Linked DNA regions of Cricetulus griseus. The protein of the gene in region 2 purifies or fractionates together with the protein of the main gene of each other region. This does not show direct contact. Links are inferred from orthologs where the notes say so. Each region holds a gene or a part of one and is shown on either strand. Other genes may lie near its edges.

Evidence for each region.
Region 1: the proteins of derlin-1 (region 2) and Serpina1 purify together in Homo sapiens (affinity purification with western blotting; 4 studies listed by BioGRID). This does not show direct contact. The link is inferred for Cricetulus griseus from reciprocal best matches to the Homo sapiens genes DERL1 and SERPINA1.
Region 3: the proteins of derlin-1 (region 2) and Rnf5 purify together in Homo sapiens (affinity purification with western blotting; 4 studies listed by BioGRID and IntAct, with this or other methods). This does not show direct contact. The link is inferred for Cricetulus griseus from reciprocal best matches to the Homo sapiens genes DERL1 and RNF5.

What each region holds. Positions count from the first base shown.
Region 1 is NC_048598.1:190,875,284-190,879,534, forward strand, and holds the start of Serpina1 (alpha-1-antitrypsin), read left to right. Parts: upstream 1-1,443; coding exon 1,444-2,074; intron 2,075-3,400; coding exon 3,401-3,671; intron 3,672-4,251.
Region 2 is NC_048603.1:29,780,655-29,784,165, forward strand, and holds part of derlin-1, read left to right. Parts: intron 1-1,244; coding exon 1,245-1,309; intron 1,310-2,217; coding exon 2,218-2,244; intron 2,245-2,837; coding exon 2,838-2,933; intron 2,934-3,511. UniProt on the Homo sapiens protein: Functional component of endoplasmic reticulum-associated degradation (ERAD) for misfolded lumenal proteins. Forms homotetramers which encircle a large channel traversing the endoplasmic reticulum (ER) membrane.
Region 3 is NW_023276806.1:231,214,331-231,218,609, reverse strand, and holds the start of Rnf5 (E3 ubiquitin-protein ligase RNF5), read left to right. Parts: upstream 1-1,471; 5' UTR 1,472-1,549; coding exon 1,550-1,689; intron 1,690-4,087; coding exon 4,088-4,106; intron 4,107-4,279. UniProt on the Homo sapiens protein: Membrane-bound E3 ubiquitin-protein ligase that mediates ubiquitination of target proteins. May function together with E2 ubiquitin-conjugating enzymes UBE2D1/UBCH5A and UBE2D2/UBC4.

The sequences.
Region 1 (4,251 bases), on a different chromosome or scaffold from region 2:
CATCACACACATCCTCTCCCAGAATTAAAGCAGAGGCAGTAACTTCTGCTCTTCCAGAACTGAGACAGGAGTGGTGTCAAGATGGCAGATGGGCTGCCAGAGGGGGAGCCAACACAGCCTGGGGCTGGAATCACAGGGTAGAATGGTGACAGTCCCTCTTTCAGGGAAAGCCACCAGGGACTGAGGTTCCTTGTGGGCACTGAGTAGGGACAGTCTGTGTGTTCCTTCTCCTCTATAGACTGATTTTTATCTTACATGTAGAAGTGTTCTGCCTGCATGTATGTAAGTACACTGTATGCGTGTCCAGTGACTGAGGAGGCCGGAAGAAGGCACCAGACACCCTGAAACTGGCTACAGGGACGTTGTAATCTGCCATATAGGTCCTAGGACTCGAACCCAGGTCCTCTGCTAGAGCACCAAGGGCTCTTTCCTGCTGAGCCATCTCTCCAGCCCGCTTGGGTTTCTTCACAGCCTTAGACTTCCCCGTGTGCCCATTCATCTCTTCTCCTGTGACAATCACCACACCTTCAACATGGTCTCTCTGGGGAACAGAGGTGACAGCTGCACCCGGATTCTGGAGCTCATGATTTCCCCACCTTCAAGCGACTGTTAGTCCAGATCACCCCCTGCTCCCCTTGTCATTACTGACAAGTCCATTTCTCACCCCAGGCCTTGGTTTCCTCTTTGTAAAATGGGGCTGGGGCTTGTGGTTCGAGGTCATTGCTGGTGGAACTTGAACTGATGAGAGTACTGGTCAGGCACCAGACCACTCCTTGTGTGTGACTTAGACCTGCTGTGTTATTTGCTGTTTGTTGACTTTGAATGTGTGTCAACATGTCCCTTACCAGGGGAGTGATCATCTCCCTACAGGACCCTGGGAGTTCACACATGGGAGGACTCAGGACAGCACTGGCAGATGGAAAAAAGTCTGATCCTCTGCTCTCGCTCCCTCACTTGGTTTTCACACATGCCTGTGAGGTGTGAGCCTGTGTGCGGAAGTGTGCTGTGCGCATGTGCATACGGGGGGCTCACATTGATGTTGGGTGGTTTCCTCAACCACTCTCCACTTTATTGAGCTCTCAGTGATCCAAGAGCTCAGAGCTTCTGGTTAACAAGCCGGCCAGCTAGCCTCAAGGATCCCATCTCTGCCCAGCCCTGTCCCCCACCCCCATGCTTGGATTACAGATGGCTACTCTGCCCACATTTTCCAAACTCCTATTCTCACCCTTACATAACAAGTGCTTTATCTACAGAAATGCCTCTAGTTTTCTTTTTAACAGTCTCTTGTCAATTATAGCAATTTGAAATAGTGCTTGATATAGGCTGGGCATGCAGCAGCCGTTAATAGGCTGTGGTTGCTTTTGTATTGTGCCAAATGTTAGCTGATGGGAGTCACCACAGCCTCGATTCCTTGCAACATGCATTTCTGTGTCTTGCAGAAGAATGATGTCCTCCATCTCAAGGGGGATCTTGCTGCTGGTAGGCCTGTGCTGCCTGGTCCCCAGCTTCCTGGCTGAGGATGCCCAGGAGACAGATGCCTCCCAGCAGGATCAGGAGCACCAAGCCTGCTGTAAGATCGCTTCAAATCTGGCAGACTTCGCCTTAAGCCTGTACCGGGAGCTGGTCCATGAGTCCAATACGACCAACATCTTCTTCTCCCCCGTGAGCATTGCTACAGCCTTCGCTATGCTTTCTCTGGGCACCAAGGGTGCCACTCACACCCAGATTCTAGAAGGCCTGGAGTTCAACCTCACACAAATAGCAGAGGGTGAGATCCACAAGGGCTTCCATCACGTCCTCCAGACCCTCAACAAGCCAGACAATGAGCTTCAGCTGACCACAGGCAATGGCCTGTTCATCCACGACAATCTGAAGCTGGTGGCGACGTTCCTGGAAGAGGCCAAGAACAATTACCACTCAGAAGCCTTCTCCCTCAATTTCACAGACTCGGAAGAGGCCAAGAAAGTGATCAATGCTTTTGTGGAGAAGGGAACCCAGGGAAAGATAGTTGACTTAGTGAAGGACCTTGACAAAGACACAGTTCTTGCCATGGTGAATTACATTTTCTTTAAAGGTAAGATGACATAACCAGCTCCAGCTGATTCTCATGGAGACACTCATCCATGGTTTCTGAGCTCTCACTCTGGGCTGTGTCACTCTGTCCCATCACATCCCTGACTCTCCAGTGGGTACACTCTGTCATATTTTAAATCATCAGTAAGTTTGGGAATTGTCAACCATCAAATCCACTGACCTCTTTGAAGGACTGACTGTCCTCGTGCTCACTGAAGACCCCGACGAAGGAGTCTCAGAACACGAGATTCTTCCCCAACCTCAGAACCAAGTGTATCTGGTGGTATGAAGAGAGCCCTGCTCCATGAAACGTATTTTGAGCAGCTCTTTTGCTGCACACCAGTATGAACTCTGGAAACATGGGCTTAAATTTTGCTACTGCTGTCTTGATGTTGGACAAGCCATTTTACATGTTTGGGGTACGGCTGTCCATATGGCCAGGGACAAAGCTAGCCAACTGCTGTGAGGTGATGAAAGAATTAGTAAATACAGTATACACAGGGACGGTTTGGATGTAAGCACTTGATCAACTCTCCTTGACCCTAGCCACAGCCTCCTGCCTGGAAGTGGTTAGGTCAGGATTCTATGCTAAGCACCTGTACCCCAGAGAAAACATCTGAGGAGGGTCTGGGAGTCAAAGTCAGGAGCTTCTCTGCCCTTCGTGGCTCCTTTGCCTCTAAGCAGAGTCTTATGGAGCAGAATATCAGGCCATGGTCAGCATAGCTCAAGTCCTGGCTCTTCTGTGACAAGGGCAGATGTTAACTCCTCCCCAACCTCTTCCTATCCAATAATAAGGCAGGGTTAGGGCTCCTGATTCCATGCTCCTTCTGAGGGCCATTATGGTGGATCCCTGAGGGCCTTGCCTACTCTGCCAGCATTGGTGATGGGTCCCCGAGACCCCTACCCACTCCAATGACCTTGATGGTGTTCTTACACTTGAAATGGCCATCTACACTGAACCCATAGATGTAGAAAGGGACTTGAGGTGTCCTGAGTGACAACTGAACTCACACTTACCAATGAGCATGCCACCCTGATAAGAAGCTAGCAAATAGAATTGCTGTCAAGATTTCCACTTATAACCCCAGGTCACCTTTCAGTAAGCATGTAACACATCTAACAGGTGAAATGCTTTCTAGACAATGGGGATGGTAGCTGTGAGCTTCTGTGATCTGTAAAGTGTGAGTCCTTTAGTCCCAAGTTACCCTCATCAAAGTCCCTGGGCATTTTGAAGTCTAGTAGTGGTCCCCTGTGAAAAGTCAAGGCCCTGGGTCACCACTTCCCTGGCTGAGCCCTCTTCCTACTTCCTACTTCCCATACACTGCAGGCAAGTGGAAGAAGCCCTTCAGGGCAGAGAACACTGAGGAAGCTGACTTCCACGTGGACCAGAGCACCACGGTGAAGGTGCCCATGATGAAGCGCCTGGGCATGTTTGATGTGCACCATTGCAGCACTCTGTCCAGCTGGGTGCTGCTGATGGATTACTTGGGCAACGCCACTGCCATCTTCATCCTGCCTGATGAAGGCAAGATGCAGCATCTGGAGCAAACTCTCAACAAGGAAATCATTTCCAAGTTCCTGGAGAACAGACACACAAGGTGACTCCCCAGACAGAGACCTTTCCCTGAGTGTCCAATCCTGACCCAAAAGTCACAAAGTGCTGCCAGAGGGTGGACTCTATCCCAGGGCCACAGTTTAAGTGCATAACCTTGAGCTAAAATAAACCTTCATCTCAGACAGTGCCAGGTAGAGTCTGGGGAGGGACAGAGCTCCTGGTGAGAGAGCCCAGGCCCTGCTTTGGAGGGACTCCCATCCCCAGAGGACATAGTATTTTCTAACCCACAGCCCAGGGCTGCAATGTCAGCAGCGCTAGCATACATCATGACTGAACTAAGAACCAAGACTGGTCTCAAACCCTGGCCACAGCTGATGGTAGAGATTGAGGTGAGAAGTTTATAGGAGAGCCCAGGATAGTCTGCATGGACAGCCCTAAACAGCAAGGGGCCAGCAATAGAGAACCCTGGGCAGGTTTGCAGAAGGCTCTGTTCGTCTGTCACTCCTCAGTGGGGCTCCAGGTCCCAGCAGTCCTAGGGTCTTCTCCCCAGGTCAGAGGACCTGCTCTGAGCCCAGGCTCTGCTGCCTGTAGGATAAGGAACCCTGTGAGCTTCTGGCAGGCAC
Region 2 (3,511 bases):
CTCACCTGTATTTCATTATAGGGAGCCTTGAGCTAAGTGTCCTTACTGCTGAGCCTTTGAGGTAGGAGCGAGAGGGAGGCAAAGCAGAGGACGAGCGGAGGATGGTCCCTCCTTCCTCTGCCCTCCTTTCCATCTTGTGTCTTGAGAACAGGAACTTGCTGTGTGATATGGCCCTGGCTGGCCTTCTCCTTGCCGTCCTCAGCTTCCAGCAGGTGTACACTGCAAACCCTGTCACCCTCTTTTCTCTTTCTTTAAGACCCATCCTCTGTCTTTCTGATTCCTGTCTTAGGGGCCTGAAAACTTGACTGCCTGTGTCTTGTAGAGTGTGCAGGAGAGAAGGTAGCTTTTAGGCAGCTTTTGAGCTGGAGTGACTTTCTGGTCATTTTTGTATCTTCCTCTGCTTCTTTTCCAGTGCCCTGACTGAGGTGTGAGGATTTGTCCCTAGACCAGAGAGCTGACTGTTGGGTTTTCTCCCTAGGAATGAAGCATTCTTAGCAACAGTGCAGGCACAAAAGCACTAAATGATGCTTCCGACAAGTGTGTGACTTGAGTCGGGTGACTTTATTTTCTCACTTGGAAGTAAGGGGCTATAGACCTGTCCCTTGCACCTCACAGATGCCCTGTGGAGAAAGTCAGTTGTGGAGAGGTCTGGCCATTCCTTTGTCCGTCCGTTCTCTTCTGGTTGTTTTCCCTTGTTCCAGGTTGTAAGACCCTGTAATAGAGGCTGAATCTGCTCAGAGTGTCAGCCCTGGGTTGGACAAGTGGCAGTGCATCTGTCTGGTGTTAGTAGTGACAACAGCAGCAGCTAATGTCCCTGTCATAATAGCGGACTTCCAGCACAGTCGTGCTGCGGGAATGACAGTGGCAGCCAAAATGGACAAGGGTCTTGACGAGCTTTGGTCTGTAAGTGAGGACAGGAAGTAAGCTCGTATCAAGGTGTGCTCACTAGAGTATGTTAGGGCCACGAAGGCAAAGCCGGCAGGTCATGAGGAAAGTGAAAGGGCCTCACTGGTGTCCCGATGACTGTCCCCTTGGGTCTGGTTTAGCTTTCTGGAAGTCAGTCAGTAGAGCATGTGCCTGTGGTTCACTTTTATTGCCATGCTATAAACTTTGGAAAAAATTCACTTTTCTTTAAAGAAGAGATGTTAAATGTTTTAAATGAGATCTTGGGGAGAATTTTCTCCCTAGATGCTACTCTTTTCCACAGTTCTGCACTCTGATGCTTGCCTTGTGTTTGTTTCCAGGAGCTTTTGACGGGAGGCCAGCAGACTATTTGTTCATGCTCCTCTTTAACTGGATTTGCATCGTGGTATCCTTCAGGGCTATTCTGGCCCGGAAATGAGCTCCTCCATCCCCCTTTTTAACGTTTTGGGAAATAGAATTTTATAAAAACATTTAAATCACTTTTAATACCATTTTAAAAACTGTAGTTAAAGCTAGGGTAAATTGTAGGTTTTGGAGATGCCTCCTCTTAGCATTGCCTCTGGGATTTTTCCATATTCAATTGAGTTTTATTGCTGTCTCCTTGAGTCCAGTTCTCTGTGTTCTCTGGATGACAGTTTGTCAGCTGAAGCACAGAGACTCGGTGCCATGAGACAGCTTTTGAAATCTGTGGCTCTTACCAGAAAATTAATTTTCTGACTTCATTGCTGTATGCCTTTTGAGTCCTAAATAATAATCTAGTACCTCCATAAGGTCCCCTACTCTGGGCATAGTCCATCTCTCTTCGAGACACAGTTGATAAGCAAACAGTTGGCCTTGACTGCCATTTAAAGTTGGCCAAGAGCCAGAAAAATATAAGGCGAGGGATACACGCTCTCCTTTAAGAGAATGAAGAGAAAAAAAAAAAAGTTATGGGTTTATTCATGCTGTAAATCCCTGAGCATGAGCAGCATCATTTGTTTCAAATGCACAGACATCTCTACCCTGTACTTGTAGGAGAGATGCTAAAACAGTAGCAGGGTACCAAAAGGACCAAGTTGTGCTGCGGTGTTCATGTCTGTGTCTCCTGCTCTGCTGACTGTACAGGGTAGTGGGATATTTATGCCTGGTTATCAGAACTTTTGTGTGTTCCCATATGGTCGTAAGTAATCCAACTGATAGAAAAATGTTCTCCTTTGGAACAGTATACTGAAATTCCACTGGAGAGAAATAATCAGATCAACCTTGATATCCATAGAATACTTTCTACATATGATCTTTAACTTTAAAACCAAGATTACGGGCTTAGCAATGGATATGCAGGTAAGTCTCAACTCTCTGCTCTTCTGTGTGTTTCAGAAGTTGAGGTTAATTACATTGACCGTATAAAATGATAACTATTGTTATCTTGAATATGCTGTTAACTTAGCCTCTGAGGCTCTTGTAGGCGTTATCTAAATCATTGGCTTTTCTGTTTATTTCTGACTTATGCTTGAGCACTCAGAGTAATGGGTGTGCAGTATTCCCTAGGTAAGTGTGAGGTTAGGTAGTCTTTGAAAACAGATTATATGTGAAAGGAAAACTCCCCCTCCCCCAATTACAGCTTACACCGATGGCTTTGATTTCATGTAAGAACATTAACTATTGATTATAGATATTTTTATGGGATTCATTGTATGAACGTGATTTTAATGAGTGTCCTCTGCAGCCTTTGGGGTGAGCGGTGTGGCCGGCCGGCCTTTGGGGTGGGCAGTGTGGCCGGCCGGCCTTTGGGGTGGGCAGTGTGGCTGGCCGGCCTTTGGGGTGGGCGGTGTGGTTGGCCTTTGGGGTGGGCGGTGTGGCCGGCCTGCCGGCTGACACTAGCCGGTGGCACGAGCTCCTGGCGCGCTCAGAGGCTCCCATGTTGGCTTTTTCAGCTGCTGCTGATCCCCCTCATCATGTCCGTGCTCTACGTCTGGGCCCAGCTCAACAGAGACGTGATTGTGTCGTTTTGGTTTGGAACACGATTTAAGGTACTTCAACTAGGTGGGGCAAAACTCGTTTTTTGTCTTTGTAGTAATTCCCCCTAAGCTCCAATGTGTGCCTTCAGACACCTCCAGAAGGGGTCACTGCAGAGCAGTATAGCATAGTCAAATGTGGCCCCCCCACCCCCAATCCTGCTCCTAGCCATTCCAGCAGCCCTTGCTGGTATTGCTTCAGTAATCCCTCTGAACCTCAGGCTCCCCAGGGATATGATCTGTGTGTGTGTGTGGGGGGGGGCAGGGGGAGAAGAGAGGGGGAGAGGGAGAGAAGAGAAATTTGAAGACAGATAACATGCAGGAATCCTGCCGTTTCTTATCTTTTTGTCACTCCTGCACTTCCTTTTAGGTTCTAAATACTTTTCCTAGAATAGCACCCATGAGTGCTCCCTGAGCTTGCCATTGTCTACTGTAATGTCCTACTCTTTACAGATCTGAACATTGCTTGAGTCCCCTGCCGGGAATTAGACTCGTCTTGTCTGGGGATTCTGTAGTGCTCACCCACCTCAGTTAGCCTTCCAGCTGTTTATGTATAACCTTCTTTGTACTTGTTTGTGAAGTTCCCTGGAAGT
Region 3 (4,279 bases), on a different chromosome or scaffold from region 2:
AGGCTCGCCCCTTGCTCGCCCCCTCTGCCTCCATCTGTGTCAGGCTCGCCCCCCTGCCTCCATCAGTGTCAGGCTCGCCCCTTGCTCGCCCCCTCTGCCTCCATCAGTGTCAGGCTCGCCCCCCCCACCTCAGTCAGTGTGTCCGACCCCGCTGGCTCCCCGAAGCCTGTGCTGAGCGCCAGGCTCTCACCTGTCGGGGTTTGGAGCCACGGGCGCTTTCTATCGTGTGTGTCTCCCGCCCCGGGACACCTTTGCCCTGGATGAGTCCACACGGCGTGGTGGGAGGACTGTTACCTAATTCTGCGCCTTGGACCACACACTTTGGGTCACTGATTGTTGGAAGGGCCCCGGCTCTCGGAGCTGTGCGGCCAGGAAAAAGATCCAAAACTCTGCAGGGCAAGTGACAAGGAAGGGGCGGACCTACTCCATCCTGCCGCGGGCCACCCGAGGGGAGGGCCGGGCCCCCGGACGCCCACTCTCGGACGGTGGCGCCGGCCCTCCCGGGGTCACATCACACCGGGGGCGGCTGTGGCGGTCACCTAGAGAGGCCGAGCCGTCCAACCGCGGGAGCCGGGCTAACACCAGCGCGGCGCGCCGACGGCCGCACCATCCACTCGCCGGGCGAACCCCAGCTCTGCTCCCTGCTTGCCGAGGAGGGCGGGGCGGACCCGAGCGCTGCCCTCTGCGTCACCCAGGGAGCCCGGGGCCATCTTGAACCCCGCGACCCCGCTACCGCCGCCCTCTTCTCCCGAGCTCAGCACCGGCTCCTCTGCAGGCCTCGGCCAATCAGCGGCGAAGCAAACCGCCCAATCAAGCCGGGAGGGAGCCCCCGTCCGAGGACCCGGATGAGGCCGAGCCGAGGCCTTCGAACCCTCGGCCCCCCGCCAGCGGCGGCGCGGTTGCCATGGCGACGGGATGGAGTTGAACGGGGGGGGGGGGGGGGGACCGCCGGCGACTCCGCTCTCGCCGGGTTGGCGCGCTCGCCGCCCCTGCCCTCCCACCCCGTCCGCCTACTGCGCATGCTCGTTTCCCGTAGCCACGCCCCCCGTCGTGCCAGCCAATCATCGGACTTGGAACCGTACGCTCTGAAGTCCAATAGGAACCCGGACATTCTTCGAAAGCGGAAGAGAAGGAAAGAGAGCGGCTCCTAGTGGGCGAGTTCTGCCGGCCCGAGCCAATCCCGTCAGAGCTGTGGCTTTGACGGGCAGCTGCGTAAACGAATGAAGACCTCCCTGGCCGAGCTCATTATTACCAATCCCTCGGCACCGCATAGTGACTGAGGCTTCGCCAGCCAATCATCATCGTGCGAGGGCGGGACCCACACGTCCTTTTCCCGCCTCCGCCCTGTAGCTCAATCCCGTCCTTTGCCTCCTGCATGATTGGCAGGCGCCTCGACCAATAGTCATGAGAAAGCCTTGAAGTCTGCCCAACGACCGTGGGCAGGAGGCGGGCCTGGCGTGCTGGGGTGTGTGTGTGCGCGCTGTGTGAGCGTCTATGTGTGTGTGTCTGGGGGTGCCGAGGGGGACGTGGGGGCGAAGCACAACCGGCCATGGCAGCAGCGGAGGACGAGGACGGGGGCCCCGAAGGCCCAAACCGCGAGCGGGGCGGGGCGGGCGCGACCTTCGAATGTAATATTTGTCTGGAGACCGCTCGCGAGGCTGTGGTCAGCGTGTGCGGACACCTGTACTGGTGAGGGCCGCGCGGAGCGCGGGAGGGAGGGAGGGTGGGTGTGCAGAGGGCAGAGGGCAGAGGGCAGAGGGCAGCCGTCCGTCACACACGGGCACAGACACAGACACGCACACACGTACACATATATACATACATACACACAGACACGCACACACATATATACATACATACACACAGACACGCTCACAGACACAGACACGCACACACGTACACATATATACACACATACACACAGACACGCACACAGACACAGACACGCTCACAGACACAGACACGCACACACATATACATACACACACATACACACAGACACGCACACACTTATATACATACATACACACAGACACGCACACACATATACATACACACACACGCACACACTTATATACATACATACACGTACACACAGACATGCACACAGACACAGACACGCACACACGTACACTTACTTATATACATACATACACACAGACACGCTCACACGTATACATACATACACGTACACACAGACACGCACACACATACATACACGTACACACAGACACGCTCACACGTATATACATACACACACAGACACGCACACACTTATATACATACATACACATACACACAGACACGCACACAGACACAGACACGCACACACGTACACATATATACATACATACACGTACACACAGACACGCTCACACATATATACATACATACACACAGACACACAGACACATACACATATGTACACATACACACAGACACGCACACACATATATACATACATACATGTACACACAGACACGTTCACACATACATACATACACAGACACAGACACACATACATACACACAGACACGCACACACATATATACATACACACACAGACACGCTCACACATACACGTACACATACATACATACACATACATACACAAGACACACAGACACACACTCACAGACACACATATACATACACACACAGACACGCTCACACACATATATACACATACAGACACACGCTCACACAGACACACACTCACACACACCACACAGGCGCACACCCGGGAGGCCTGAGGTGGGCACTGGGGTCCCGGTGTGGGGAAAGCAGGGTGTCGGGAGGGGGTGGGGTGGGAGCGGGGACGCTGAGGTGTGGCCGAGCCCGAGGTTGACACAAACACACAGGACAGACTTTCCGGTCAGGGGAGCTGCTCCTCGTCAGAGGACGGCCGGACACAGGGACTGTGTGTGTGTCTGTGTGCTTGTGTGACAGAGTGTGTGCGTACGTGAGAGGGGTGTGAAGCCGGAGGGCAGAGGCCCTGTGAAGGGCAGACAGACAGAGGGACTTTGGCGCCTGATGTGACAGGAGGAGCAGCAGGGCTGTAAGGGAGGACGGAGCGGGGGCTGAAGAGAACCCTGTTGAGTTGGGAAATCAGGGTAAGAGGCAGAAAATAGACAGGCTGAGGCAGGGAGGTGCGCGCGCGTGTGTCACTGTGTGTGTGTCAGTGTGTGTGTGTGTATGTGCATGTGTGTGTGTGCGTGTGTCAGTGTGTGTGTCAGTGTGTGTCAGTGTGTGTGTGTATGTGCATGTGTGTCACTGTGTGTGTGTCAGTGTGTGTGTGTCAGTGTGTGTATGTGCGTGTGTGTGTGCGTGTGTGTGTGACACTGTGTGTGTGTCTGTGTGTGTGCGCGCGCGTGTGTGTCACTGTGTGTCACTGTGTGTGTCAGTGTGTGTGCGTGTGTGTCAGTGTGTGTGTCAGTGTGTGTGTCTGTGTGTGTGTGCGTGTCTGTCAGTGTGTGTGTCACTGTGTGTGTGTCACTGTGTGTCAGTGTGTGTCACTGTGTGTGTGTCAGTGTGTGTGTGTGTGTCACTGTGTGTCACTGTGTGTCACTGTGTGTGTCAGTGTGTGTGCGTGTGTGTCAGTGTGTGTGAGTGTCAGTGTGTGTGTCTGTGTGTGTGTGCGTGTCTGTCAGTGTGTGTGTCACTGTGTGTGTGTCACTGTGTGTGTCAGTGTGTGTCACTGTGTGTGTCAGTGTGTGTGCGTGTGTGTCACTGTGTGTGTCACTGTGTGTGTGTCAGTGTGTGTGTGTGTGTGTCACTGTGTGTGTGCAGACAGAGGGAGGGAGGGAGCAGAAACAATGTGTTGCACGGGAGAAGCCTGGGGCCCTGGGGACGAGGGCTGTTGTCGGGAGGGCTGTTGTCAGGAGGACGGTTGTTGGGAGAGCGGTTGTCGGAGAGCGGTTGTCGGCAGGATGGTTGTCGGGAGGACGGTTGTCAGGATGCCCTCGGTGACCGCAGGCTGTGGAGGCAGAAACAGCCGCAGTACCGGGGCGGCTGCTGCAGTGGGCACAGGGTGCCGGCTGTTTTCTGCCATGTGATGAGTTTTGTTTCTCTCCTCCTCCGTGTGCAGCTGGCCCTGTCTTCATCAGGTATGTGCTCCTGTGCTCCTGACATGGGCGGGGCGCGGGGTATGTGCTCCTGTGCTCCTGACATGGGCAGGGAGGGCGGGGAGGGCGGGGAGGGCGGGGAGGGCTCGGGGTATGTGCTCCTGTGCTCCTGTGCTCCTGACATGGGCGGGGAGGGCGGGGAGGGCTCCACGACC